Linked DNA regions of Oreochromis niloticus. The protein of the gene in region 3 interacts with the protein of the main gene of each other region in a biochemical or structural test. Links are inferred from orthologs where the notes say so. Each region holds a gene or a part of one and is shown on either strand. Other genes may lie near its edges. The genes, in order: atm, atrip, atr and chek2.

Evidence for each region.
Region 1: of the proteins of atr (region 3) and atm, one has a biochemical effect on the other in vitro, tested with the Homo sapiens proteins (2 studies listed by BioGRID, with this or other methods). The link is inferred for Oreochromis niloticus from reciprocal best matches to the Homo sapiens genes ATR and ATM.
Region 2: the proteins of atr (region 3) and atrip form a complex in vitro, tested with the Homo sapiens proteins (4 studies listed by BioGRID and IntAct, with this or other methods). The link is inferred for Oreochromis niloticus from reciprocal best matches to the Homo sapiens genes ATR and ATRIP.
Region 4: of the proteins of atr (region 3) and chek2, one has a biochemical effect on the other in vitro, tested with the Homo sapiens proteins (2 studies listed by BioGRID). The link is inferred for Oreochromis niloticus from reciprocal best matches to the Homo sapiens genes ATR and CHEK2.

Annotation. Positions count from the first base shown.
Region 1 is NC_031979.2:14,487,832-14,494,791, forward strand, and holds the start of atm (serine-protein kinase ATM), read left to right. Parts: upstream 1-3,936; 5' UTR 3,937-4,103; intron 4,104-4,317; 5' UTR 4,318-4,341; coding exon 4,342-4,413; intron 4,414-5,230; coding exon 5,231-5,349; intron 5,350-5,602; coding exon 5,603-5,748; intron 5,749-5,924; coding exon 5,925-6,089; intron 6,090-6,180; coding exon 6,181-6,346; intron 6,347-6,446; coding exon 6,447-6,685; intron 6,686-6,960. Other genes in the region: protein NPAT, read right to left, coding at 105-201, 290-371, 479-570, 783-906, 1,769-1,844, 2,019-2,261, 2,602-2,642, 2,840-2,912 and 3 more.
Region 2 is NC_031970.2:11,844,752-11,851,840, forward strand, and holds the start of atrip (ATR-interacting protein), read left to right. Parts: upstream 1-4,089; 5' UTR 4,090-4,450; intron 4,451-4,811; 5' UTR 4,812-4,812; coding exon 4,813-5,152; intron 5,153-7,089. UniProt on the Homo sapiens protein: Required for checkpoint signaling after DNA damage. Required for ATR expression, possibly by stabilizing the protein.
Region 3 is NC_031983.2:20,161,135-20,168,932, reverse strand, and holds the start of atr (serine/threonine-protein kinase ATR), read left to right. Parts: upstream 1-4,798; 5' UTR 4,799-4,963; coding exon 4,964-5,016; intron 5,017-5,166; coding exon 5,167-5,258; intron 5,259-7,036; coding exon 7,037-7,189; intron 7,190-7,307; coding exon 7,308-7,798. Other genes in the region: pls1 (plastin-1), read left to right, coding at 1-42, 971-1,113, 1,194-1,289, 1,463-1,658, 1,914-1,992, 2,412-2,526, 2,634-2,767, 2,899-3,022 and 2 more. UniProt on the Homo sapiens protein: Serine/threonine protein kinase which activates checkpoint signaling upon genotoxic stresses such as ionizing radiation (IR), ultraviolet light (UV), or DNA replication stalling, thereby acting as a DNA damage sensor.
Region 4 is NC_031977.2:37,556,281-37,563,184, reverse strand, and holds the start of chek2 (serine/threonine-protein kinase Chk2), read right to left. Parts: upstream 3,004-6,904; 5' UTR 2,865-3,003; intron 1,492-2,864; 5' UTR 1,483-1,491; coding exon 1,230-1,482; intron 765-1,229; coding exon 640-764; intron 536-639; coding exon 403-535; intron 320-402; coding exon 229-319; intron 158-228; coding exon 61-157; intron 1-60. Other genes in the region: entr1 (endosome-associated-trafficking regulator 1), read left to right, coding at 3,243-3,285, 3,359-3,510, 5,737-5,915, 6,013-6,154, 6,238-6,311, 6,389-6,500, 6,588-6,650, 6,728-6,867. UniProt on the Homo sapiens protein: Serine/threonine-protein kinase which is required for checkpoint-mediated cell cycle arrest, activation of DNA repair and apoptosis in response to the presence of DNA double-strand breaks.

The DNA.
Region 1 (6,960 bases), on a different chromosome or scaffold from region 3:
AATTTATAAAAAGTCTTACAATAGTTCTTTAGTTAAACTGTTACAGACAGTTGCGAACCATTATTTAAAGGAAAAGACATTAAAGTAAATGAGGTCATAGTTACTGCAGTCAAAGAGGTCAAAGAGAGCCTGAAAAGCTGGGTCGGACTCAGTTTGCTCCAAAATGTCATGGATGGCGTCGTCACTCATATGAATTTCCCCCTGTATACGTGAGTGAATACTGGTAAATTACACAGAAAAAGTGAAAACACTACAAGCTAAATTTTAGGAAAAAAGAAAAATAAATCACCTGTAATCCTAGTATTTCATCTATAGACTGGTCTGTCTCCACTGTACTTGAAGAACCCTTTGATGTTTGGGGCACTGGCTCACTGATAGTAGTGATGAAACAGAGTAGGAAACAGCACAGTCATTATCAAAAACTGTGCACAATACATCCAAGTGCACACAAAATGAAGAGTCCTGTTGCGTTAATTACTTTGCAAGGATTTTGTTGATGTTTTCAGCAAGCTTCTCTTGTAATGACCTGTCACCCAGTATCTTGTCACGTGCGTTTTGTATCACAAGCTGCTGTAAAGAGTGAGATGAAACAGAGAGTATGTCATTTCTGATGCAATAAAGTAATTTTTCTTTGTATCTAGAGACACATAGTGATATATGACCATTCAGCAGATCAACAAGGTTTTAAACAACAATGTCAGTGGATTTGTTAATATGTGATTGAAGTGTAGTCTTTAACTTGTCTCTGTGATTAGGAAACCTAGCATTACTGACATACTTACAGGGAAGTTTTCATCAACAACCTCTTCAGGTTGGGGTTCTGCACTGCTGCTGCCAGCAGGTGTAGCAGATCTGCCAGGGGCACTGGAGCCACTCAGAGCACCACTTCTCTTCCTGGGGGTGTCCCTGAAGACAACAGAAAAACATTTTAAACAAACCATGGGAATAACAATAACAGCACAATAAAGTCACTGTTAAACAGAAATATCACATGCTGAAGATCTAATTAATCAATCAAGTTGGGGTGACCCAGCACAGACAACATTCCAGGTTGAGTACACATGGTTATCGGCGGTCCTGCCCACTTTGCATCAAAAGCATGTTCTTTTCGTCGCAGTCCCTTGAAGTCGCCAAATATCACTTTCTATGGTCTCTGATGGCTATATCACTGCGGACTGCTTCCAGTGTGTACACACATTAAGGAACAACATACTGATATTGAGTCATTTAGATAAACAGTGACACAGTCTTGTGACTGATTAATGTCATGTGAAATTCACTACAATCAGCATTTTTTTTTAGCTCAACCAGCCAAAGGACCGATTAGTTTATGACATGGCATCTGATGTCCTCTCCATCCACAGTTCAGAAGGATCACTACTCCTTCTAGATTGGTCAGAACTGAATCAACACAATCCCCAACTGATGTATTTTTTTTGTGCTCAGGATCACAACTCTCATTTTACGGTAAACACCCTGTGAAGTTTGACGAATCCTTAGCAAGAAAAGCTACTGAATCATTAACATTCTGGATTATGCAACACACCAAGTACATGTTTGTTGTTTCTGCAATCATTAGTCACATTTTCTGCAATGCGAAAGGTTTACTCAGTGGTACTGTAAAGTCATTGTAACAGCAAGGTCCATGCACAATTTGTGTACAATGAAAGCTAATTTTTCCATCCACTTTAGATTAGTCTGTCTTTAGCACTCTGGACAGATGTTTATGTAATAACACCTATAGTAAAGCATTAACAACTATTCTTACCATTTCCTTCGACCAGGAGACATTGGGCCTGGATTTAGCCGATGCTCTGAAACAATGATCTGCACGGGTGAATCCCCTGTAATGAACAAGTTTGAATATTTATTATTAAAAACTACATTTAATACTTAGTTAGTATGTGTGCATTAAATGAATAATGAGCTCATAGAGCGTTGCTATCTCCTTAAAAAGCTGTGATCTTAGCATCACTTTACTTTAGCATTTGTACTCAGTTGTGTGTTATATTACTGACTGGGTGTAGTCATTAATCGGCTGCTGTCATGAATATGCTGGCTTGTGCCACTGCCAGATGCTGGTCTGCTGTTCAGACCACTGTAGCACACTGGGGTGGAGTGGGCAAGCATGCTGTGGGAGGTGTGCGCTGGGCTGATGATGGTGCTCGTCTCAGAAACCGATGAACAGACAACACCACCCGCAGAAGCCACGGCAAGGACCCGCTGTCTAGCCATGTTTGCCAATCCAACACGTGAACGTGCTGCAACACACAGAAGCTGATAAGTAAATAGGTTACATATAAAACCTGAACGCTGAGGCACTGTTTGACAACTGTAAGTAATCATGGTGCCAATTTCCCAATTTGATGTATAGACAATTCAGAAGTTAATTGGGTAACATGCCAGTTCCTGAGGTTTTAGGAACAGGCAACTATAATCACAATAAGCTCATGATTAGGGAAGTCCCTTTTCAAACAGTTTCTGTTCCTACGTTATAGGTATATTTCTACATAAATGCATCAATGCATTAAACCTGATGCTTTCGGCTACATCACCACGTATTAGCCCATTACATAACAACAAACAACCTGACAAACTTACTTCTCTGACATGCTGATATAGCAGGGGAATTCTGCAATGACCTAAGGAAAGATGCAGAAAAATATTCACATATTAATTCACTGCACCAAGTTTTAGCATTGAGAAACACAGCAGCAGATGTTTATGATTCGTCTCACAACAACATACCAATCAACAATAGAAAACGATATGAAATCATTTTTCAAAATCAGCCCAATGCATCCTATGCTATCACACAATTATTAGTGAAGCTCATTACTTAATCTGGTTGAGTGTAAAATCCAGCTTTTTCCACAATGAAGTCATCACGACGGGAACCTCATGACAAGACTCTGTTGAAAATATGAGTAATCATCAGCAACAAAACCATGACATATGAACAATAATCGGTTATAAAATACTAAAGACATCCTCTGGATGGCTTACCTTTTGTTTTAGCAGCTACATACTCATTTAAAATGGTCGTCAGGCTCTTCCCAAAGATGGACTGTGTGAGGAAAGATTAAACAGAAATGCAGTCAGCTGCCATCATGACAGTTCAGGCTGTGGAGGCGGCTTACAAGAGGGAGGAAGGCACACTTACAAAAACGCAAGCAGGAATAGTCCCATCTCCTGTGGTGTGCTCGGCATACTCTTTCAGGTTGGGGCTCTCATGAATGAAAGCTTGGCTTGTAGCTGACAGCCCCTCTTCTTGGAGGTACCCTAGCGGAAGGACATTAGTAGCACCTTAGTCAGCAGTAACAGTTACCCTCCAACTGCAGCCCAATCAACCGTTAAGGCTGTGAGACTAAAGCTACCCATTTACACTCGACTGTCATTGCTGGCTAACCCCACAGCTACTCGTCTGCTATGGACGACCAGACTTACCCAAAACAAGCCGAGCGACGTCAGACGGTAGCAACATGACCGACTACTTGTTGGTAAAAGCGGCCTCAAATGTGAAAAGGTAACTCCATGTTCAGGAAAAGTCTCCGAGAAGCTCGAAAAACTGTCTGAAATGAAACCACGTCAGTGATATTATTGTGAAGGCGACGTCTTCACAATACTGCTTCTATACTCAAAAGGCGGGGAACTCAAGCACGTATAACCCGGAAGTACCAAGACCAAGCTATCGATTAGAATTGTGGTAGTTGTAGTCCAAATAGAAAAAGTCAATCTGGATAACGTTCTATAGTGTCTTACATATATATACTGTAATTTATAGGTTGAACGTGACTTCAGCATGTCGTATACCACTTCAATAACACAATACCTATTAAAAACATTAGGTTTATTTTCATGCTGATAGAAAAGTGAATGGACTCACTCAATACCAGGCATAAGAAGGAAGTGATGTGAGCAGTTGAGCCTTGCTGCTGGGGCGGGAATATTTTATGCGTGGGTTACGTGTGCGTGCGTGCGTGTGGCTCTACAAGATGGCAAAGTTGTCATGGCAGGTACAGTAGCGGTGTGCCTTAACTCAGCTAACATCTGCACCTGCAAGTGTGACAACTCCGCAACTGCAATCACTGCAGTCATCTGAGGTCAGTGAACAGCGCAGGTGTTTGAATGGACATTTGTGAATGAAGTTAAAAGCTTAATCTGCCAGTTTCGTGTTGCTAAAGTAGTTTGCATGAGCAGTGAAGCAGTGAATAAAGTGTGGGTCGAATGGTAGAAATCTACAATGTCTACTAAGTAATAATAGTGTAGGTATAAAGCGGATGAGTAACAACTTTTGTCAACATCCTGTCCCTCCAGTGTGTACATCCACGGTGAGGCACAATGAGCCTGGCTCTTCATGATCTCCTGGCCTGCTGCAGAGCACTCGAGAATGACAAAGCTACAGAGAGGAAGGTGAAAAAGACGAACTACTGCCTATCAGTTGTCCAAATAAATGAATTCATAGGCGATTCAATGTACTTTAAATAGGTTAAACAACTCCCTATTTAGCTTATTTTAAAATAACAGAGGATAACTAACACTGTTGTCCAGTTATCATGGCAAAGCAGCCCAACACCAGTAACAACCACAGTTATCCTTTAATTCACTTCTTTTAGTTACTACCTTCAAATCAGGGCTCTTCTTACTGTAAAATATTGAACTCAGTCAGAAGCTCAGATTGCATCGCTTATACATCTGCTGAGCATCAGCATCTGTCCTGCCCACTTGCAAATAAGATGCAATTTGCCTGTGGCTTGCACCACATCAATTTTGCACTTTATAAGTGTACAAAGGCAGTGCGATGAATAGCTGAAAGACTCTAAAATCAGTAATTTTTCTAAATAAAGGTTTATTTACTTTCCTGGCACGAGTAGCAACAAAAACAAAATAGGATCTGCCAGTCATCTTGGTATGTTAATGGTCTGTATAGCCCCACAAGTTCTCAGTTGTGACACATTATGCGTATTTATTGAACAGAATTTCAAATCCTGGTTCTTCCTGTTAAAATGGGGGGTTTTCATCCCACCCTCGCTAAGTGCCTGCTCGTATTGGGTCGCTTGATTGTTGGGGTTTTCTCCAATACCGTTGGGTCTTTAACTTACAGTATAAAGAGCTTTGAAGTGAATTTTGTGGGGAATTGTCCATAATTAAATAAACCTGAATTGATTTTAATGTTTTTTTAATCAATGCGTTGTAAATGCTTTTTATTTCATCTCGTAATTATTATCAGAAAGAAGCTGAGCACTTCAGACGGCTCCTTCGATCTCCAGAGATTGTGCAAGAACTCGATCGTAACTCATCAGCTAAAGCAAAAGCTTCCAAGCAACTCACATGGGATGCTGTTTTCAGGTAACCTGCATCAGAGTATTTGCAACCATATAAATACAAAATGTATATATCTATAAGGTGTTTCCAGAGAAGGGACTATTTTCTACCTTTTTGCATCTTTTGAAAAGTTCTTAAATAAGTATTTGCTCTTATTTCATATTCTGCAACATGCTCGTAACTCATAAATGATTTTAGCTAAAGTTAGCCCATGTACCGGAACAAGTGGCTTCTATAAATGAATGCTCTTTATTCTGCTTGGCATTTCTTGCATCAGGTTTCTGCAGCGCTATGTCCAAAAGGAGACGGAAAGCATGCAATCAAGCAAATCCAACGTCACGGCAACCACGCTGGCCACGCGGCAGAAGAAGATGGCTGAAATATGCAGCCTGATCAAATACTTCATTCGCTGTGCTAACAAACGTAAGAGCAGGAGCAGGTTGCAATATGTTTTGGGTGAATGTATGTCGTAATAAATTAGGGAACATTCATGTATCTTTATATTTATAAGTATCTTTCATTAATTCATCAGACACAGTAGAAAAAATATTGAATGAACTGTGGGGACTGCAGTTAAGAGTGTCCTCTTCTTCCTCCAGGCGGGCCTCGTCTGAAGTGCAGTGAGCTGCTGAAACATGTGCTGGAGGTTCTGCAGAGTTCGTACTGCTGTTCAGCCTATGGAGAAGATTATAGCAGCCTCCTTGTAAAGGACATCCTCTCTGTCCGCAAGTACTGGTGTGACATCGCTCCACAACAGTGGCATAGTCAGTGGGCTATTTGGAGTTTTATTTTATAAACATGAGGAAGCAGACAAAAGTAAGAATTGATGGATCTGTGTTTATTCTTGATCCTTAGATCTTTTGGACTTGTACTGTGGTTTGTTCAACTCCTCGTCCAGACCCATCAACCGCGTTTTGGTGAGCAGAGTGATCCACACGGTGGTGCAGGGCTGCTGCATGCAGACCGATGGATTCAATGACACGCTGTTCAGCTTTTTCTCCAAAGCACTGCTTAATGTCAGGTGAAAACTTTTAACACCGTTTTAGATTTGCGTTGAATAAATGTTCCGGTATTAGTCGCTAAATTTAAACACTATGCATTCTTCGTATCAATCGTATCAGGCAGGAGAAACACTTGGCTGTTTTGGAGCACCTTGTCTCAGCTCTGAACATCTTCTTGAGATCTGCAGCCATGAATTGTAGGATGAGGCTGTGTCGACTGGGAGAGGAGCTTCTGCCTTCCATACTGTACGTCTGGGCAGACATGAGGCCCAGTCCAGCTCTCAAAGAGGAGATTGTGGAGTTCTTCAACCTACAGATTTGTGTCCACCACCCCAAAGGAGCCAAGACACAGGACACAGGTTCTTCTTTTAGAAACTTAATTTTAAATGTTGATTTCCAGTGTTTGTGGTTAATAGTGGTCGGAGGCCAGGCTACACTCACAAACCCTTTGTTAGGTACACCTTCCTTTCTGGTTCGTCTTCTGCTGCTGTAGCCCATCTGCTTTAAGGTTTGACGTCTTGCACATTTTGAGATGCTCTTCTTCACCTTGATGAAGACCATCCAACCACTTTGTTTTAAGAAGGGCATATTTGAGTTTCCTATCTCTTAGAACAATATAACCTTTCTCCTTTAA
Region 2 (7,089 bases), on a different chromosome or scaffold from region 3:
AAAAATAGCGAGAGATTCACACCCAGCGTACAGTCACCACCTCCACACAATAGCCAATCAAGTCGTGAAGTGGGTGTGAGTGTTAATTGTAATTTTTAGGAAGTTACAGAAATGGTCAGACAGAGTGTTGGAAGTGTCTCGAACAGATCCTGATCCAAGTGTATTAACAGAGGAAGATATTTTCTAAAACAAAACTGACAAAAAATTCTAGCCCTTTCTTGTTATGTCCTTTGCCTTAGCCTACTTGTTTTGCATTGCCCTGCTATTATTTACTACAATTTATCTGTTCAATCCAAGCATCATTCTACAAGTGAAAATCAGTGTGTAGGCAGCACATTGGTGTGGTGGTTAGCACTGTTGCCTCACGAAAGGCACTCCTGGGGTCTAATCTGCCCAAGGCCAGTCTGTGTGGAGTTTGCATGTCCCCCCTGCGTCTGTGTGGGTTTTCTGCAGGTACTCAGGCTTCCTTCCACACAAAAGATATATAGTTAGTGTGGTTAAATTAATTGGTGAGTGTGAATGGTCTCTGTGTGTTAGCCCTGCAACAGGCTGGCGATCTGTCTGGGGTGTATCTTGGCTTTTGCCCTATGGTAGTTTTTCAAATCTTAGTTGATATTTAGTGGTTAGTCAAACAAAATTCCATTGCGGATAAAAATTGTGGTGACTGTTAAATTACGAGCAATGTACGTTGAATGTTACACATGAAACAAACTTTATTCATTCAATTTAATCAGTTGTATTTATAAAACACCAAATGACAACAACAGTTACCTCAAGGCGCTCTATATTTTAAGGTAAAGACCCTGTGATAATACAAAGAAAACAGAGAAACAACAGCAATGATATGACCTCATATGAGTAACCACTTTGGTGACAGTGGGAAGGAAAAACTCCCTTTTAACAGGAAGACACCTCCAGCAGAACCAGGCTCAGAGAGGGGCGGCCATCTGCCATGTGTGGTTCCAGTGCATCATTGGAATACCCCAGTAGCATAGACCTATTGCAGAGTAAATAACTATAGGCTTTATGCTTTATATGGAAAAACGAAAGTTTTAAGCCTAATCTTAAAAGTAGCGAGAGTGTCTGTCTCCTGAATCCAAACTGGAAGCTGGTTCCACAGAAGAGGCCTAAAAGCTGAAGGCTCTGCCTCCCATTCCACTTTTGAATACTCTAGGAACCATAAGTAAGCCTGAAATCTGAGAGCAAAGTGCTCTGATGCGGTACCATAAGGTCATTAAGATAAGATGGGGCCTGATTATTCAAGACCTTATACGGGATTTTGAATTTGATCCTGGATTTCACAGGGAGGCATTGAAAAGAAGTCAATATAGGAGAAATATGCTCTTTATTTTTAGTCCCTGTCAGTACTCTTGCTGCAATGTTTTAGATTCTGAAGGTTGAAGGCCTGTGGTACATGGCCAATTATTAGATATAGGTTGATCATAATTAACACTGAAGCAATAACTAGTGGCAGGACTTCTTTGTTTGTGTACTTGTGCACTTCTCTTACTTGTAAAGATCATTGAACAAAATATTCAACAGATCTATAACCATGTGGATTTACAGGCCACAGACAGAATTTACATCCACAAATTGAATATATCTGAAAATGCTTTTTCTAAAAAAATGTGGTGAGTTGACTTTAAAAAAATATAAAACAAGAGTACAGTGCACTGTTGCTTTGCTTTTAGGCATGCATCTTTGCTTAAACATGAACTGTAAATATTAGTATACCATCCAAAATATTCAGGAATTAATTTATTATGGTGCCATTACTGTACTGGAACAAGCTATCTCTGCATTGCAGCACAGAAACAGTCCGGTGCTTTTTTTGTGTCTTCTAACTGGATCATTAGGCGGTAAGGTTGCTGACTTCTAAAAAAGTCAGCAACCTTACCACCTAATGATCCATGCACCTCAGACCTCTGTCTTTCAGCTTAATATGATCTCGGCAGCCATTAGAAAACCCTTTTCAGTTCTTGTTTTAACACAAATTATTAAAACATGGTTACACAGTGACAACTGAGAAACTGATTTTCTCTATGTTTACTGGATTTTGTGTAATAGTGCATTTCACACATCAACCCCTTTAATCTGACAGCAACTTAACATGTCAGTCTTTGGTCACTTTTACTGAAATCACAGCAGCAGCTTTATTACAGTAAATGTACACACCTTAAAAATCTTAATTAAAATAAATATCAAAATAATGTGTTGCTGATATGTTGTTCTCCCTTCTACAGAGTATTAGTTTATTATCTCAGGCTTCATCTGTGATGTACAATGAAAATAAAATAATTTTAACAAACTGTGAAACTGGTGAGAAACACCCTAAAGGAACTAGTCATGCAGTTGCATACAGACAAATGAATATCTAGCAAAGCACAATGTATGCAGAAAGTGACAAGAAGGAATAAAGCAGAACCCAAATTGACTGTCATGTCACTCACAGTGTGTGCTATAATAAAGTTAAATGATGCAGCTGAATCTGTGAGAAGTCAACAGAGTGTCCCTCACACTCACGAGGATCGTCATCAATTATGTCTTAAGTGGCAAAGTTGTAAAATCCATTAGTGATGCAGAATGAGTGAGAACGAAAACATGCACTGTTGGTCTCTCCTTCTATGTTCTCTACCTTCCCTTTCATCAAAGTGTCCAATTTTACATGCACCTTCAGCTCTTTCTTTAAATGTCACCCACGTCTGAATGTCACAAAGCAAACAGTGAATCGCACGTGTGCAGTGCAGAACAGAAAACCTGACAGGCATGACAGTGAATAAGGTGGGTTTACCTTACTTAATGCTTAATTAAATGTATTGCATTGTCTCACTCTTGGAAGATGGAACTCGTACCTTAGGTGTGGTGTGTGCATTACAAAGAACGTACACACACACCACCATAATGTGAGCAGAACAAACACCTGGATTTTGAGAGGATGTTGTAAAAGAGGAAAGAAAACACACAGGGTTACTCTTCTGCTCTGCAGTCACATGTACATGTACTGTATGTGGGCTTCATTTCATCTGATTCACTCTCAGCTTTGACTGTTTGGTTGTTATGGTAACCAGCTTCCCTGCCAAATATATGTGTTTGTGTGTGAAAGAGTGTATTTATGTTGCTTTCTTAATTTACTCAATTGTCTTTTTAAAACGTGAAGAGATTAATCTGTGCAGATGAGACCTGCAGTGGTGCTGAATGCTGGTGTTACTGGCATCACTGTGCTAGTGATTGCGTGTGTGCGCGCGCGCGCGTGTGTGCGTGTCATGGTGCTGCTGCTCATGAGGATGAAGGGTGCATCTGGATGCCTGTCGTTGAGCTCTGCCATTTCTGTACTGAAGTACGGAGGCGGAAAAAGAAAGAGAGGCAGCGGTAGAGTGAGCATGTGTCAGAGTTAGACATACACGCACACACAGTAGAGCCTCAGCTGCGACACGCAGACCTGTCTGTGTCTAAAAATGGAAAGCACACTTGCTGTTGCTGAGAAGCCACAAGAAGCTTCTATATGAAGAGAGCGTACATGTAGGGATTCATAGGATGTGGATACAAAACTGGCAGGTGATGTCAGATTATACACGCCAACGTGGTGGGTGTTACAAGGGCACCGTTTAATGAATCAAATTTCATTTTTCTTACTACACCCATGTTAATTTCCACTGGGGATGAAGAATATTGGTTTAATGTTATGTAGGGAAGGGTGAATAAGGCAGTGATATTGGACACAGGATAACGGATTTTTTTTTATCACTATGTGGTTGCCATGCAACCACCAGACACCTCAAGAAGGTACTACACGTAAGAAATAGCCCAAATAGTCTCTGCCCCCGCCCCAATTCAGACGCGCGCGCGCACACACACACACGCGCACACACACACACACGTGGGCGAAGAAAAAACATTCTGGGCTATATAATAAGGTATTTCCCTTACTTCCAACCAGTGTTCTAAGGAAAGCTTCTGTCATGAGTTCACCCTTAACAAGAACACTATTATGCGTAGCTACTCCTTTAAGGATACCAATTTGCGCGTTTAGTATAGTTTGTCTCAAACGGGTACCTGTAAAAGACCCAGTTTAAGAATTCGGTGTCAATGATTGGCCGAACAGCGAAAGCAGTGCTATGATTGGTCGCGTTATCAGGCACACCGGAGCGGGATGAACGACACACTTCTGTTTTGTCAACTTTAGTTTTGTGTTGTTTATGTGCTGTTGTACCATATTATACAGCATTTCACAGTTTAATTCATGGGCGCCGTGTAAAGGAGTTCTATTTAAGACACTCTCTATGTCTTTTTAATCAATAAATTCAAATATTGTTTTGACTGAATGAGGTTTTGTAGCTTAGCAGGCTAACTCCCCATTGGAAATCACGGCTAGTTTTCGCTAGCTTAGCTGACAGCAGCGACAGCCAGAGAACCCAGAGGCAAGGTAACACAGTAAAGTCAGAAGAAACGTGTACGTGTTCATGCATGTTAAGCTAGGTTTGTTTAAAAAAAAAAGAAACATGCGTTTTTTTTGCTTCAGTCACATTAGCCTGAGTTGAGTTAGATTTGAGGTTTTTTTTCAATTCCTGAACGTGACTTTGCTTAATAAGTTATTAGCTGATGTTGTACCTAACACAAGTTATTTCAGGGGTAGTCTTGAAGCGCTTTCAATGAATCAGCTTTTATTGTAAAGTACGGCTTTGATTAAAATAGTTATCTTGAGTTATACTAGTTATTCCTAAGTGACCCACACAGTCGCCTAGTCTTAGTGTTTGTGAATATGCATACATGAGAATTACTCACAATGCTAATGATATGTTCCCCCCATGCAGCATGAACTGTCCCCCAACAAAGCGCCTCCGTGGCCTGAACAAGGATGTAGTGACAGCAGTGGCTTTTGATGACCCTTTTGGAGATGATGAAGAATTCACCCAGGAAGTTTTAGATGAAATCGATGATATCGCCTCGCAAGCCATCACGTCGGCTTCGGAAGGGGTAGAGCCAGGGACAGGATCCAAACCGAATGAGCCAGCCCGCGGGTCATCCTGGCCATCCTCCTTTGGGCAGAACAAACCTGTGAACAAAACCACATCTAATCATAGCAGAGAAAATGCATTTTCCTTAAACAGTAGCAACAGAGAGAATGCGGGGATACCAAGTAGAGAACCATTGGGTGAGTATTTATTTTGTATTTTTTTAATCTACACTGTTATTAACAATATTTATGTAAAAATATGCCCTTAATTAAACATCAGAACCTTATGTGTGTAAATTAAAGAAAGACGGGTGGAAAGGTGAAGGTGGATGATTTTAAATAACTCGTGTCATTCATTCAAAGCAATGAACGGTGCACAAGAGAGGTGAAGTAGAGAGTGCAGGAAGGGTGGAGTGAGCGGACATGAGTTTCAGATGTGATTTGTAACAGAAGGATCAGAACGGGAGTGAAATAGAAGGTTTACAAGATGGCAGGGTTTGGAAACGATGTCACTGATAAATAGACAGGAGATGCTAGAGGTGTCAAAGTGGAAGATGTTGAGGTTTTCATTGGGAGTGACAAAAATAGACAAGGTTGGAAATGAGTAAATCAGAGGTGCAGCTCAGGTGGAGTTGTTTGGAGGCAAAGTTAGAGAGGCAAGGTTAACAAGGTTTGGATGTGTGCAGAGGAGGAAGTGTGGATATATTGGACAAAGGATGTTGAAGATGGGTCTTCCAGGCAGGGGAAATGAGAGAGACCACAGAGAAGTTTTGTGGATATAGTGAAGGATGGGCAGAGGGCTGGTGTGAAAGAGGAGGATGCTAAGGATGGTTTGAGATGGAAGCAGATAATCTGTTAGAGTAAACTCTAAAGGAAGCAGCCAAGAGGAGAAGAAGAAGAATTAAACATTTAAATATGCTGTGGAATGTTAATTCCACCGGCAATTACATTCCAGTATGCTTAATTCCTTTTCATTCGTCTTTCTAGTCTACCATTGATTTAAATTGATTTAAATGAAAATTTCAAGCAAGAAAAACTATTTATGTAGCACTTTAAAAAAATATATTTTGCACTTTCATTGTAGAAGCAAAATGAGCTGCATAAAGAATGAGCTACACAAAGAAAGTCTGTATTACAGTTTTGCAGCCACAAAACTATATGGAAAATGTAATTTGATACAATTTTGGTTAGTTCATAGGTGGGCTTGAGCAACTGAATAAATAAAATCTTTACAAATTGCACTCACCAACAGGGCAATAAAAACCGCAATAGATGAAAAAATAATAAGTTAAGCCCTTAAATCAAGTAGAAATAATAAATATGAATCATGGTAGCCTTGTAAATCTGATAAAACTCCCAAAGTAAAAGTAGTGCAATAAGCAAAAAGAAATTGATTAATAAGTAACTGGACTTCTGAAAGGCACTGCTAAACACATACTGATAATGGTGGCACACCATTATTAGGATTTTGTAGGTTATTGCAGTAGCATAAAGGTTATAATGTCTTCAGTAGTAGTAGTAGAGGTAGTAGTAGGAGACACCTGGAAAATAACCCAAGTGGTGGAGCTGATTCATAGTTCATGAAGATGAAGATTGTGCAGGATCTTTAAGAGCAAGCATTCAGATTTTGAAATCTGTTCTAAAATTACTTGGAAACCAGTGTAATAACTGTCCTACATGTGTTAAATGTCACATTTCATTCTTTTATCTAAAACTCAGGGAGCTGCTTTCAGGAGTAGCTGAAGCAAATTCAATTATTTTTTGATATTCATGCAAGCAGCACATTAAAGTACCTTTTCAGTGTTTTCCTTCTATAAAAAAAACCCTAATCTGTTGTAGTATTTCTTGAAATATCATAAAAACTAATTTCATATACGAGATGGAGAATAAATATATCACTGTCAGTGTTCAGAAAGCATTATGCTTATGTCTACACAGTTCCTGTGAGGGTAGTATTCTTTTTAAAGGCAGTTATTTAACAAGATAAACCACATGCAATTTTATCTTCCCAGTCCAGAATTGAAAAGGTGTGAATTCCATCTCATCTGTTCCTGTTATTTTTTCTTTATCACGTTAAGAAAAGTGTTTTGGATCTTCATCTGGCACAGAATCTGCTCCTCTATGTAACCAAAAGC
Region 3 (7,798 bases):
AGATTGGCCTCTTTGCTGACATAGAAATCAGCAGGAACCAAGGTCAGTGCACACCTGCATGCACACACACAACTTCACATTTACAGCACTCACCCATGTGTGATGCAGTTCAAAGGAGAGGTTTGAAATGTAAAAATTAAGGCAAAACAGTGGAGCTTGTTAGGTCAAAACTGTATAACAGAGTCTTCGTCGGAGCTCAGTACACTGGGGTTTAACCCCTACAAGCCTGAACCATGAAATAATCGCCAGAAAACATTTTTTTAAATGAGCGTTTATTGAACCATCTGACAATTTTAAAAAAAGAAAAGAAAATAATTTGAAAGTGTTTGTGATTATATATTTCTTTTCTGTAAGCAGAAAACACATTTGGTGCTTTATTTTATTTTATTTTTATATGTTATATTATATTATCTGTAATCATACAGCCTCTAGGTACAAAAATATGTTACAAATCTTTGAATTTTTTTTTGCTTTTTTCGTAACAAATTAGCTCATTCCTTTGCATGTCTTCTTTACTTTGACCAGCATAACCACAACTGTATTACTTTTAATTGAGAGTGTCTTGCTGCTTCTAGGTAAAAATGCAGTTTTTGATTAAATGGTAAATGGCCTGTATTTGTATAGCACTTTACTTAGTCCCTAAGGACCCCAAAGCACTTTACACATTCAGTCATCCACCCATTCACACACTGGTGATGGCAAGCTACATTGTAGCCACAGCCGCCCTGGGGTGCACTGACAGAGGCAAGGCTGCCAGACACTGGCGCCACCGGGCCCTCTGACCACCACCAGTAGGCAACAGGTGAAGTGTCTTGCCCAAGGACACAACAATCGAGACTGTCGGAGCCGGGGCTCGAACCGGCAACCTTCCGATTACAAGACGAGCTGCCAACTCTTGAGCCCCGATCGCCCCGATTAATTTCCTCTTTCTTGCTTTAACAGTTGATTAACTGCTGTTATGTGTTTTTAGGTTTGATTGCCCTTCTAGAAGATGGAGAATCACTGGAGCACCTAATGTCTCTCCCCCCTGACGAGTTGCTGCTCCGCTGGGTCAACTATCATCTACGCAACGCAGGAACGGAAACAATCAGCAACTTCAGCGAAGACATCAAGGTACCGTGCAGAACAAATACACATACATGTGAATACACAGTGTCATGAGTGTAACCCCATCTTGTACTCTCCCACCGAAGGACTCACGGGCCTACTTCCACCTGATGGATCAGATCACTTCCTGTGAGGAGGATGAATTCCAAATGAAGATAAAAATTGACATGAGCGGCCTCAATGTGAGCCAAAAAATGTTCACATAACAGTGAGAAACTAATAAATGAAGCTAAATGTAAAGATCAACACTTCTTTCTGTCATTTTAACCAGTTTTCTTCAAATTCTGATATGATTATATCCACATAGTGTCTGTTCTTCTATGCATACATGTCTGTGTGTGTGTTTGTTGTGAAGGAGTGGGATTTGGAGAAAAGGGCTGAGCTGATGCTGCAGCAGGCAGCCAAACTGGACTGCAGGCAGTTTGTTACTGCTCGTGATGTCACATCTGGAAACAGCAAACTGAACATGGCCTTCGTGGCCAACCTGTTCAACATGCACCCCGGTCTGCAGAAGTTTCTGATGAACGGAGGCAATTTAGAGCACATAGAGAGTGAGATATATTCACCACTACATCTTGGCCTTACAATTACACGACAGAATCATAAAATGCTGAACTGTACAGTACACAGAGGCATATTAGCCATAAAATCAGCATGCAGAAAACAGACGTAATGCTATGCTAGTTATACGTGCCATAGACCAATAAAAAGCCAGAGATGATAATAGGTTCTTGAGTGTTTGACGTCTAGACTATAGATGAAGTCAGCTGTATGATAACATGTATGATGTCTTCATATAATTCCAGAGGAGACCAGAGAAGAAAAAACATTTCGCAACTGGATGAACTCTCTGGGTGTTTCTCCACATGTGCACCATCTTTACCAGTATGTCATCAGTTATACATAATCATGTTGACCATATCAGTTATTTAGGGTGAATGGACCTGTAAATCAAGGTTCAGCTTCATTTAATGATTAGCATGAGTGTCCTCATATAACATTCTACTGAAGACTCCACAAGAGTAAGATATGGGCTTAGCTTTAATCTTAAATTTTAATGCTTTCCTCATGCAGACAGCATTGAAAATATAGTTTGAAAATAATAAATCCCTTATCTAATTATAAGTGTTATTATTATTATTTATTAGCTTTAAAGCACAGTAAAACATGAGCTCCCTCTAAGACTGCTAAAACTCCATAATTCAATAAAAATAGAGAGGACATGCTCTAAGTGTTCTCAGTGGTGGTCATTTTTTCTTCTTCTTCTATTGAAATCAATTATCTGTGTCATTGTTTTTTTCCAGTGACCTGTGTGACGGCTTGGTGATTCTGCAGCTTTATGATAAGGTCAATGTGCCTGTGGACTGGAAGAAAGTCAACCGCCCTCCTTATCCTGCGCTGGGGGCCAATATGAAGAAGGTACTACATGCTAACAAGCAGAGCACAGTGATGATGACAGGAAACGCACAGCAGTGGGAAATATGAGAGATGCAATGTTGTTTTTTGTTTTTTTCCCTGTATCCCAGCTGGAAAACTGTAACTATGCTGTGGACCTGGGCAGGAATGTTGCCCGCTTCTCCCTGGTTGGAATTGGAGGAGTAAATCTAAACGAGGGGAGTCGTGTACACACCTTAGGGCTGGTCTGGCAGCTGATGAGGAGGTATGTGCACGCAGAGCTGCAGGATGTTTTGCTTGCTATAGTACATTGTTTGGTGAAAACAGACAGTCCGTGGTTTGGCGCTGCTGCTCATTGTATAGTTTCAGTTACCTTTACTTCTTACAATCCTCCAGGTACACAGTTCAGGTTTTGTCCGATTTGGGTGATGGAGAGAGGGTGGTAGATCAAATCATCCTGGACTGGGTCAACAAGATGCTGAGCCAGAATGGAAAGGACACACAAATCAGCAGCTTCAAGGTGTGTATCTTTGTTTGTGAAATGGTTTGATATCAAAAGACTGTGTGCTTTAAACCCCTTTTTGCCTGTTTTTTGCAGGACAAGCTGATCAGCACCAGCCTGCCAGTGATTGACCTGATCGATGTAATCGCTCCGGGAATGGTCAAGTTCCACGTGGTAGCAAGAGGAGAAAATGGAGTGCTGAAGAAAGATGATAAAATCAACAATGCCAAGTAAGAAATAAACTTTTTTAAACTCCCAACCACTTTGGATTTTTCGCTCTTTTATAATTTCCTTACTCCTCTCTCCTTCTGTGCTGCTGCCAGGTATGCAATCTCATTGGCTCGTAAGATTGGCGCTCGTGTCTACGCTCTGCCTGACGATTTGGTGGAGGTCAATCCCAAGATGGTGATGACTGTGTTTGCCTGCCTCATGGGGCATGGTATGAAGAAAGCCAAACCCTGAAGTGGGTACAAACAACACTGAATGAAGATGAAAAAATATATTTGTATTTTACTTTTAAAAAATTATTTTTATTCCTTTACTTTGAGTTTTAACCTCGCCGTGCGTACAAAACAAAAACAGTCTAGCATTGTCTATTATTCGTTTGCAAGAAAAAAAAGCTGTATATCATTTTCCATCAATAAAGATAATTCTTTCTTTTATACGTGATTTTATGGAATATTGTTCTTTGCTTTATTATACTTAACCCATTCTATTTACTTCTTCTGCAATATGAGCCAGAGATCCAGCAGAAGAAAAAGCAGAATTATACACACATCTGTTCTATCAAATACATTTTATGTCTGTAAATGTTGTTCATTAAATATTGCTATTTAATTAATAAAGAGAATCTGTTAAATGTACGAAATACCTGTGAATGTTTTGTGTATCAAAATACAAATTCCTTCTGGACTTCAGAAGTAAAGAGCAAATTGGTTATAACATGTATATTAGTTCAGAAGTGCATGAAATATAATTGAATCAAAAGCCATCAAAAGCAAAAATCTGGATTTTCTACATAGCTTCTAAAAATGGGCATAACTGAAAACTTTAAGGTTAAAAATACTTGAAAGATGGGAGGTGACAATAATCTGACATTACTTGATATTTATCTATTTATTTTTTACCAATTTTCTAATATGTTTCAGTCTCCCCTTTAGATAAGGGGAAGCATCTTATACATCTTGTTTCAAAAAGCTGCATGGTGAATAAAGGAACAGAAACACTTGTGTTTCTCTTGTTATTGTAGGTTCTTTACCTTGCAATATAAAGTGTTTTGATGTGACTTTTGTTGTGACTTGTACTATATAAATACCATTTAACTGATTTAAGAAATTCTACTGTAATTTTAAATTTAGCAACTTAATTAAGACATACATTAAACTCTAATCACAAAATACAACATTGCCTCATGAATAGTAAAGTAACACAGTTGTAGGCAGGCATACACAGTTTCACAAATATTTACATTATATATCTTGTATTATACCCTCTTTTTACACATTATTTACTACTGCAATTGCACTACTCCTTTGCACAGTCTCAGTTAGATTTTTTTATTTCACCTTTTTACTTCTCCTTTGAAAAAAAAAATCACTGTTGTGTATATTTTTACCCTGCCTACATTGTAAGACATTTACTATGGGCCTGTGGTACTTTTACTATTAACAATTAAAAAAAATTTTTTTTTTTTACATATTTTTTCCTGCCGTAAAAGACATACTTTAACGTTACTTTAACGACCAGAGGAAGCTCTTACTAGTTTGCTTTTTGTTTGAGCTTATAGACCCTCGCTGGCTTCCGTATCAAAACAGAAACGTCATTTTGGAGCGAAAGTTTTGGAAAGACTTGACAGGCAGAAGGAGACGTGGAGATGTGTACTGGTTAAAAATGATTAGATAGAGCCATATATTAATGTATTAAAGAGTTTTATCGAACAGGGACATACAAAGTTTAAAAATGGAAGGTCTGGAAATGTCTGCGATGATACCGGCTCTTCAGGAGCTAGCTAGGTGAGTACACGGCTAAAGTTGGCTAAGAGCTAAGTAGTTAACAGTACCAGTCATTTGGGCTAAAGTGAGTCCTCGTCTTTACTTATTGAAGTCGATAAAAACCGTTGCTTCATCATGTCTCTGTGAATAACATCGTGCTGATGTTTGCAGTGCGAGCGCTGCAGAGTACGACCAGGTGGTACAGAAACCTCGACAGATTCTCTGCCAGTTCATCGACAGGATACTGACAGATGTGGATGTCGGTAAGGCGGTGTTATCGACACTTACTTGGGGTGGTCACCATAATAAAAGCCTCTGAAAGGACATCAGTAAAAAACAAACAAACAGCTTTTTGGTGTACACTGTCAGACTTATCTGCTGACACATTCCCTTAAGTTGTTGCTTACAATGACTGCTATTTCCCCTTGCTAATATACTGTGCTGATTTCTTTTTCTTTCTTTTTTTGTATATTTGTCACACTTGCATGTTTCAGATCATCAGACAAATTTTAAAAATAGAGATAGCCTGAGTAAATGTAACATGCAGGTTATGAATTCCTGAAAAACTCCTGTAAAATAATAATACTGATAATACTACTACTACTACTACTACTACTAATAATAATAATAATAATAATAATAATAATAATTATTATTATTATTATAAAAATAGGAAAAAAACTATCCAAACCTTTGTGAAAAAGTAACTGCCCCCTAAACCTAATAACTGGTTGTGCCAACCTTAACAGGAAGAACTGCAGTCAAGTGATGGTGATAAGTTGCAACAAGTCTTTCACATAAGATCAGCCATATTGGAAGTTTTTCAAGCATGAGCGGTCTGTTTAAGGTCATGCCAAAGCATTTAAATTAGATTTAAGCCTGGACTTTGACTAGGCCGCTGCAGAACTTTCATTTTGATCTTTATGGGGTTTTTTTTAAGCACTTAAGACTTCCTGGTGGGTGTGGGATCACTGAACATTATTCTTGGTTCTTTTGTGACTTAATGGATGAGTTGTTGATGCACTCTCTGAGCAATTTTGATAGGCTGTCTACTCCTGGGAATGTTTTCCACTGTTAAAATCCGTGGATCACTGGAGTCTCAAAGCCTTAGAAATGGTTTTGTAACCCTTTCCAGACAGTTCTTTTAACCTACTTCACCTCAGATAGGTTCTATTTAAGGCATTTCTTGATTCAACAAGCCTGGCAGTAATCACGTCTGGGTGTTACTTGTGAAATTAAATTGAGCTTTCAACCAATGTGGTAAATCACAATTAATTCATGATTTAAAAAGGGAGGAATTACTGTTTCAGTCAGGGCCAGGTAGGTTTCGGTAGCTTTTCTTTCTCTTATTTAATGAAATCAAAATTTAAGAACTACACTTTGAATTTAATCAGGTTATCTTTGTCTAATATTAAAATGTGTTTGATGATATGAAATATGAAAATGTCACAAAAAAGTAAGCAGGTTTAAACCCTAACAAGCTCATGTGTGCACATCAGACATGCTTCCTTTATTCCTTAAATTCCTTTATCTTTACCTTTATTACATTTAGTACGCAGAGTTTGTTATAAACCATATTAGTTTTTGTCTTCCCCCCACTTGCATGAATCTTGCCCCTTACTCTACACCTGCACCTGTAACTTCCCCTTTGCAATATGAAGGTGATATAACAGCAGTTCACATTGCTGGCAGGTGTTTGTTCGGCAAACAGAAACCCAGTCTGTGTTAGGAGTTCCAAAACACAAAGAGGGCACATCGGGTGTGACTACAGATAGGAAAAGTACAACTAATATAAACCTGTGTCTGCTTCTGTCTTCTTGCTGCTGTTGTATAAATTTATGATCTCCAGTAGTTTACTTGGTAATTAACTCTTGGCTTCTCAGATTCTTTTGAATAAATATTGTACCTGGAGTTTAAATCAGTGTCTTTCTTTAAGCTTTTTATCATTTAGTGACTTTTCAAGTTAATATTGCAAGAATATTTGACTTATCCTCTGTATGTGTACCAGCTCTTTGAACAAAACGGTTGTCTTTTCTTCCAGTTGCTTTAGGGCTAAATAAGAAGTCCAGCTCAGAGCCAGCCTGTGTGATGCTGCTGGACTTCGTGCAGCACATAGTTAAATCTTCATCTCTGATGTTTGCCAACCCTGCCTGTCAGCCTGCTGAATACCCAGACACCACACAGAGCTGCACTGGTAGGAAATTCTTCTCAAAATGCTGCCATAAGTGATTTCAGAAATTAGAAAAAAAATGAACATGTTTTCCTCTTTCCTTTCTCCTTTAATATCTTCTCATTCCTTGTCTTGATTTTAGACTTCAGTAAGTGGGTGGCGGTGCGTTTCCTTCGTGTGGCAGCAGCTCCAGGCTGTGATATCATCCATGGACGGGTCTCTGCTGTGTTGTGCTCTTTACTTCACACTCTGAGAGTCCGGGCACCATTTATCTTTAATTGCCTCATTCAGGAACTCATATTTCTGTGCCAGGAACTCAGCCATAACCTGTATGCACATATTTGCACACTTGGAGGACAGGGACATGTTTTGGAGATTCACACAAAGAGCCAGTGGCCTGTAAACCTCAAGTGCTTCAGTTTATCCCCCCTCTGTGCCTCCTCATACCTCACCCCCTCTGCCCTTGTGCTCTCCTCACCTGCTGCCTTGGAGTCGCTGACTGCCATAACGATCGACATCATAACTGAGTCTCTGCGGGGAGTCATCTCCCGTCGTGACCTGAGTTTAGCCTGGGAGGCTGCATGCTTCATCCTGGCCAACGGGAACACCAGGCTGAGGAAGGCCTCCATGGTG
Region 4 (6,904 bases), on a different chromosome or scaffold from region 3:
GCAGTCGAAAGAAACGAGCAGCGGGTCTCAGCCAATCAGAGAGCAGATGACGCGACTCACCCCTTCAGACTGAAAGTTCTTCTTGTTTATGATTTTCACTGCAAACTTCCTGCAGGTGGATCGCTCGAAAGCCAGCCGGACCTCGCCACACACTCCTCTGAAACACACACAGTCAGCAGGGTGGTACCGGCACAGGAAATGACATCACAACGCCACGAAACAACTCACATGCCAATGCGTCGGGTCAGTAAGTATTTCTCTTGTAGGTCTCTGGGTAAGCTGGACTGATCGTCCGACATCAGGTCGATGAAGACAAACACTGCAGAGAGACAGGAGCAGGAGGTGAGACCGGCGCCAGGGTGTCCAGGTGTTTTCAGGTGCTGCTCTGGTGGGCGGAATCACCTCGGTTTCGTTGTTCAGCCAGAGAGATGACGGCGTTATTGACCAGAGGAAGCTTCTTGTCTTTCCCGATCGGAATCCCATCGAGAAAAGTGCCATTATTACTGAGGTCCTCCACGAAGACCTCCGAGCCCTCCTGACACACACAGGTGGAGAGGGCGACGTTAAAGCCCCGTGAGCGCAGTACTCACAGTACGATCAGTGCTAATATCAGTGGTAGTAGTACTGCAGTAGTCTCACTCTGTAGATCCTGAAGTGTTTCTTGCTGTAGATTCTAAACTTTCTGGAATTTCGGTCATTTGGATCCTCCAGGACGTAGTTACACCTGGAGTCCCGTCCAAACAGGTACTGGTCCTCTATGCAGTCTGTAAACAAACAAACAAACAAACAAACAGGAAGTGCTCCTCTATGCAGTCTTCTCGGCAACCCACCCCCCACCCCCCACCCAGTGGAATTACAAAACCTGCAATTCCGGGATTTTATTTGGATGCTAATTAGCAGCAGCAGCTAGCTCATCCTCTGGTCACTCCATGCTCGAAAAAGGAAGAGGAGTTGAAAAACCAGGATGCCATGTCCATCTTTTATCTACAGTCTAAAGATCAGTCACACCTGAAGCACTGTCTGCTGAACAGAAGTATCCTGATTACTTCATGTGTTGTTTAAAGTATGGAACAGGGGAGCTCGGCTGGCTGATAATGCTAATTCTGCTGCTAATTCTAGTAATTACTAATTCCAGACACAGCACAATATGTTCAGTTTAGTGGAATCTGATTAAGAACAGAGTGAATGGAGAACTAGCCAGCGCGTCGGCGTGTTGTGAGCAGCGGTACCGTGGCTCCTGAAGCCTGGGACCATGGGCAGTAGGCGGCCCCAGGGTTGCGGCTCGGGCTCCTCTGGGACGGACGCGAGCGTTACGGGGATGGTGTCCACGCTGCTCAGAGTCCCCGAGCCACTTGACGACTGACTGGCTGAGGTGGGCCCACTGGATGAACTGGAACCAGGCTGGGACTGGGACTGGGACTTGGCCTGGGACGGGGACAGAGTGGACTGGGTTTGGGACTGAGGTGGCCCCTCTTCAGACATCCTTCAGCTCTGCAGACACATGAGAGACAAAATCAAGAACAAGAGAAGAAGAGTTTGGGTTTCTGCCACAGGTAGTGATGGGTCCTGCAACACTGACGCACCGACACATGTATCAAGCTCACCTAGCGAAGCCTGTATCGGTGCGTGAGTCGCTTTAAGAAAAAGTCACGTGATCGATACAGCTGCTGTATTGCTCATTGCCAACGCGCCAAACTGTGTTTAAAAAGTACCGCATCCGCGTCTGTCAACGGAACGAGACGCCACAAAAAAAAAACAAAAAAACCCCCACAAAATTACTCTCGCAAAGATTAAAAAAACAAAAAACAAAACACATCTCTCCATAACAAAATGGAGCCCGAAAGAAAAAGAAATGTTTCTGCTGTGTGGGATCATTTTGATCTTTTAACCGCAAATAAGGTAATAGTTTGTCTGTCTTTGTTTCAGTGTAATCTATCCTCAGTGTTTAGGCATTACAGAGCCAAACATGAAAATGAGGAGACAAACACACTGAGAATGAACACAGGTCAGCCTATATTGACACTGAACAGCTTTATCATCATTTTTTTTTATTAATATGTGTTTTATTATTTTGAAATCAAGCATCTAGGAAGACTGTTCTGGACCAGACAGTCCTGAATTTTATTATAAAGGACTTCCAACCCCTTAGTATTGTGGAGAGTGTCGGACAGAAACATTCCAAGATCAGAGGATCCTTTAACGTACTGGGGGAATAGGAAGACATCTTATCAGAACCTTTTCCACCTGGCTTTACAGTTTTTGTACCCCAGCTTCATCTGTGCCTGTGAGTTTTCCAAAGCTGGGGAAATGGGGTCAAAAAAACGCAATAGACTGAATGTCAAAGGAGTTTGCAAAGAAATAGACTGAATGCAAAAACACTGAATAAACTTATTTTTCTGAATAGAATTTTATAATAAACTCTGACTCAAATTTATTATTACATTCACAATACTTTCATTTTAATTTTCACTTAGTGTCATTCACAACATATTTTAAAGATGTCTACAATATTTGAAACGTAAAAGATATAAAATGATTCCATGGAAAGTACAATACCTTACAGTGTACAAGTATGACTAGGTCATTGAATCAGTGTCTGTTGTGAGTCTCAAGTAAGTTCCCTGCAATGATATTTACGGTCCAGCAGGTGTCAGTATGGAGCAAAACAGCAACACTGTGTCGACACAGTATCAATACAGTTTGGGGAATGTGCTGAAACGCTTCACGAGGCCTCATCTACCCATCACTAGCCACAGGATCTTGGACATCCGTGGGCTCGTCGTGGCCCCAGAGCACACAGTGCAACATCCCCACGCCCCACTGTGGCAGCAAACACAGACCGCGTGTCCGAGACTCCCACTCACCGTGAAACCGGAACCCCGCCGGTGCTGTCAGTCTCCGCGCGCCTTCTTCTCTGCACTCAGCCGAGCCAGAACCAGCATCCGGGTCTCTGCGCGTCCACGAACCGCATCCACGAACCGCGACACGTGGTTCGATTTCTTGACCGGGACCCTGCGGGACACGCGCTTCCTTGTGGCCTATTTTTTTCTCTGACGTCAGGAAGTAGTTCCAGCCAATGATAAGTCGGAATGTGGATCACGTGCACCGGGAGCCGTCAGCTGGTGTTTCCGGGTTTGGTTTGGTCCGGCAGAGAGGATTCAGAGGCTGATCGATAGTTATGATCGATACGTGAACGGAAGCCAGGGGGCGGAGCGAGCCACGTGTCTGTCTGCGAGTCCGACATGTCTAAACAAAGAGGCAGCAAGACTCTGATCATCACAGACGGTGAGTGTCGGGGGGGAGGTCTGCAGTCTCCATGTGAGCCTCCGTCACAGCTCCAGCTGTTCTGTGTGTGCAGATGAGGAGGTGGAGGAGGTGAAGGAGGAGGCAGAGGAGCTCAACCCGTTCTCCTTCAGAGAGTTTCTGCGCTGGAAGAGCCAGGACCCGGACCCGGAGCAGGCACGCACTGAGGTCAGAGCTGCACAGCTGGAGGTGCACCTCTGTCCTCCGGTAAAGCAGTGAGCACAAACACAGAGCAGGTCTGTGCTCACAGCTGTGACATGCGTGTACATGTGCATATTTAAAAGAGTGACACAAACTTCAAACTGCTGTGCTGTGGCGGTCATGGATGTGATCGCTGTGGGCCGAGCGTGTAATCGACTCACAGCTCAGACTCTGGCTCTGTCCTCAAACCGTCCATCGGTCCCACGCTGAGTGTTCAGCCCACTTCATGCTGCTGAGTAACTGTTCTCATGAAACAGCAGAGATGACCTGAGATCAGCTGCTGTTTCTCAAAATCTGCAGAAAACAGTGACTCCATCACAAACACACGCGTGTCACAGCTGTGAGCACAGACCCACTCTGAGCATCTGCAGTGACACAACACGTGTTTGTGCTCTGTGACGTCATCTGACCCTACCTGCTCCTCCTCCTCTGAACGACCTCCACAAACCAATGAGGTTATAGCACGGCATGGAGTCAGATGTGCGTTTTGTAGTCCAGCTTCTGCTTGTTGTAGTTTCAACACTTTGGGGATCCGGCGTCACGCTGTTAAGCAGACACAAGTGTGAGGTCGTTCCAATTCTCAGCATACCACTTTTCTCTTTTCCTGAGTCCTCACCGGGGTCAAGGAAAAGAGGTTAGGGGATAGGAGACGCTTTGGAACGCCCTGTGGCTGTGTCCACATTCAGGGGTTGCATCCTTGGAAGGACCTACACGGTCTACGTAGGGCGGGTCCTTCCAAGGTCACGAACACCAGAAGTACAGACCTGTTAAAGTGGACAAGCAGTTCCTGTTGCCTAGCAACTGCGACAGTAGCAGCTAGAGCCGTGGCCTTGCCTTGATGCACGCTCAGTCATCCAGGTTAGGAAATCCCAAAAAGCTGGTTGTGTTCATCTGGACGTTTTCAGTGGGAGTTTCATCATCATCAGCTGACTCCTTCAGTGTCAGCTGACTGCAGGTTCCAACCTTATAAACAGGACATCTGCATAACGACTGACACAGCAGAATGGCCCACTCTAACCCACTGATGAGTCCCACTCACAGAGGGTTGGGGAATGGCTGTAGAATGGTGACACATGTTCCCTTAGGCCCCTCCTCCATGCTTCGACATCAACAACCCACTGACAGGTGTCAGTATTTCCACGGCTGCACAGTTTAAAACAGCGTTTCTGTTGCTGCCACAGTGTAACCTGAAGTGTCCATGAAAAGGACCAATCACACCGGGAGCCCGTGCTTCTTTAGGCTCTGCCTACCCACGATAGCATGAAACTGTAGCAGTGCGTTGGTTATGGAATATAATTCCGTACATTTCAGTTCAAATTGAATCCCTGCGACTGTCTCGAAGACAAATATAAATAAACTGCAGCCACAGTCTGAAAGTCACATTTAAACATGTGATCCTTTGTATGTTTCACATAACATGAACATGAACTGATACATGGATATTTATTTATTGGAGAGAAAACTGTGCAACAAACAATATTTGAACTAAATACACTGTGGACCAATCAGAGCTGTGTGTAGTTCCCTGTATTCTGTCTGTCCTGCAGGATAAACATCAGCGAGCGCGTCCCTGCATGCAGCTGGTACAGTTTGTGTTGGACATGCTTCTGCAAATACACGAAGCAAATATCTAGAAACTGTTTCAGTGTTTCCACCGACTGTAGAGATCATCCTCTGCATGTCTCAGCTGCTGCTGCCTCCTCCTCCTCCTCACACGATGTCCCGGTGTATCATCAGGGGTGGAGAGCCTCTGTGCCGTCTCCTCTCTCCTGACTCTGGACTCAACCGTGGCCGTTAACAACAAAGGCAGAAAACTTGATCAAATATCTGTTAACAGATGAAACACACACAGTTTTCTCCTCTAAGCACACGGTCTGTCTGTCTTATCAGTAGTAGCTTATACAGGATGAGAACTTCAGTGCAGCATGGTTGAGTCTGTGTCCTCAGCACAGTCCATGGGCCAGATGTTTGGTCCCCGTAAATACACTTGGCTTACAGCCTGAACGTCTGCTCACTGTAAACGTTGACGTACGTTTGGCTTCACAGCGACAAACCGACCAAAGCTCGTACGACCCGAGCCATGTTAGATATCGCTAACGTCAAGTAACTTAGCTGAAGGTTAGCTGAGTTTAACGTGTTTTCACATTCTTCATTATGCTAACATTCGTCCGTTTCTGGACCGCTTCCCTTTGACCGTCCGCCATTTTTTCCAAAACATTTTTTCAACCTCAGATTCGCAGTGAATCTTGGGATAGCGTGGACCACGAAGGATACACCCGACCCGCCGCACACAGCCTCTGTCTGTCTCATCAGGAGGAGGAGGAGGAGGAGTGGGGGCGGAGCTTCCAGTCAGGCGTTGACAGCACCTCCTCCCTGTGCACAGAGGAGGAAGAAGAAGAGGAGGAGACCAGGTGAGTCTGATGAAGTGCGGGGCGTAAAGACCTCCGAGCAGCTTCTGTGCAGATGAAACTCCACCTGCCGTGAGGTCACCTTCACCTGTGTCACCAGGTTCTCCTCCAAACCTGAAGAAGCTGCAGGCAGAGGTGCAGGAGGAGGAGGAGAGAACTATGAAGGAGATGATGAGACCTCAATGGCTGAGTCAGCCACCTCCTGCAGGAGGAGGAGTACCAGGAGCAGCCAGACGCAACAGGTAACCCAACCACGGAGCGCTTAGTTCAGGGAGCGTGGGACAAAGCAGAACAGGGGTGTTAACAAGCTCCTGTTCTGTCTCAGCTGAAGGAGGAGAACGCAGCGCTGAGGAGGACCGTCAGGGAGCTGCAGAGGAGAGCAGAAGTGAATGAACGCAGGTTTGTACCAACCAATCACAGGACAGAGCCGCCATGTCGCTGACCAATCATTTACCCAGCATGCCCCTGTCTCCCAGGGCGTCGCAGCTCTCGGAGGAGCTGCTGCAGAGGAGGCGTCAGGAGGAGAAGGAGGCCCAGGACCTGGAGAGCATGGTTCACTCTGTGGAGCAGAACCTCCACCTGATGACGGTACACACACACAAACACACACACACAGTGTTTGCATGAACAGGTGTGTGATTGTGTGTAAAAATGCTCTACGTCTGTCCGTGTTAGAGGCGAGCGGTGAAAGCGGAGAATGCCGTTTCCAAACTGAAGGCGGAGCTACAGCAGCTGCAGGTGAGATGGAGAATGAATCATCGATTATCGATAATCTGCTGGCTGTGTGTATCAGCGTGTGTGTGTGTGTGTTTGAGGCCGAGGTTGATTCTCTGCGGGCTGAGAACAGCGGTCTGAAGTCGGCGGAGTCTCAGGTCGTCATGACGATGAGGCAAAATGCTCAGGTGGCATCCGATTACCTGAACAAGATGGCAAGCCACGCCCACTCCTCCATCCGGTCAGTACCTGCAGACACACACAGCCATCAGCCACAA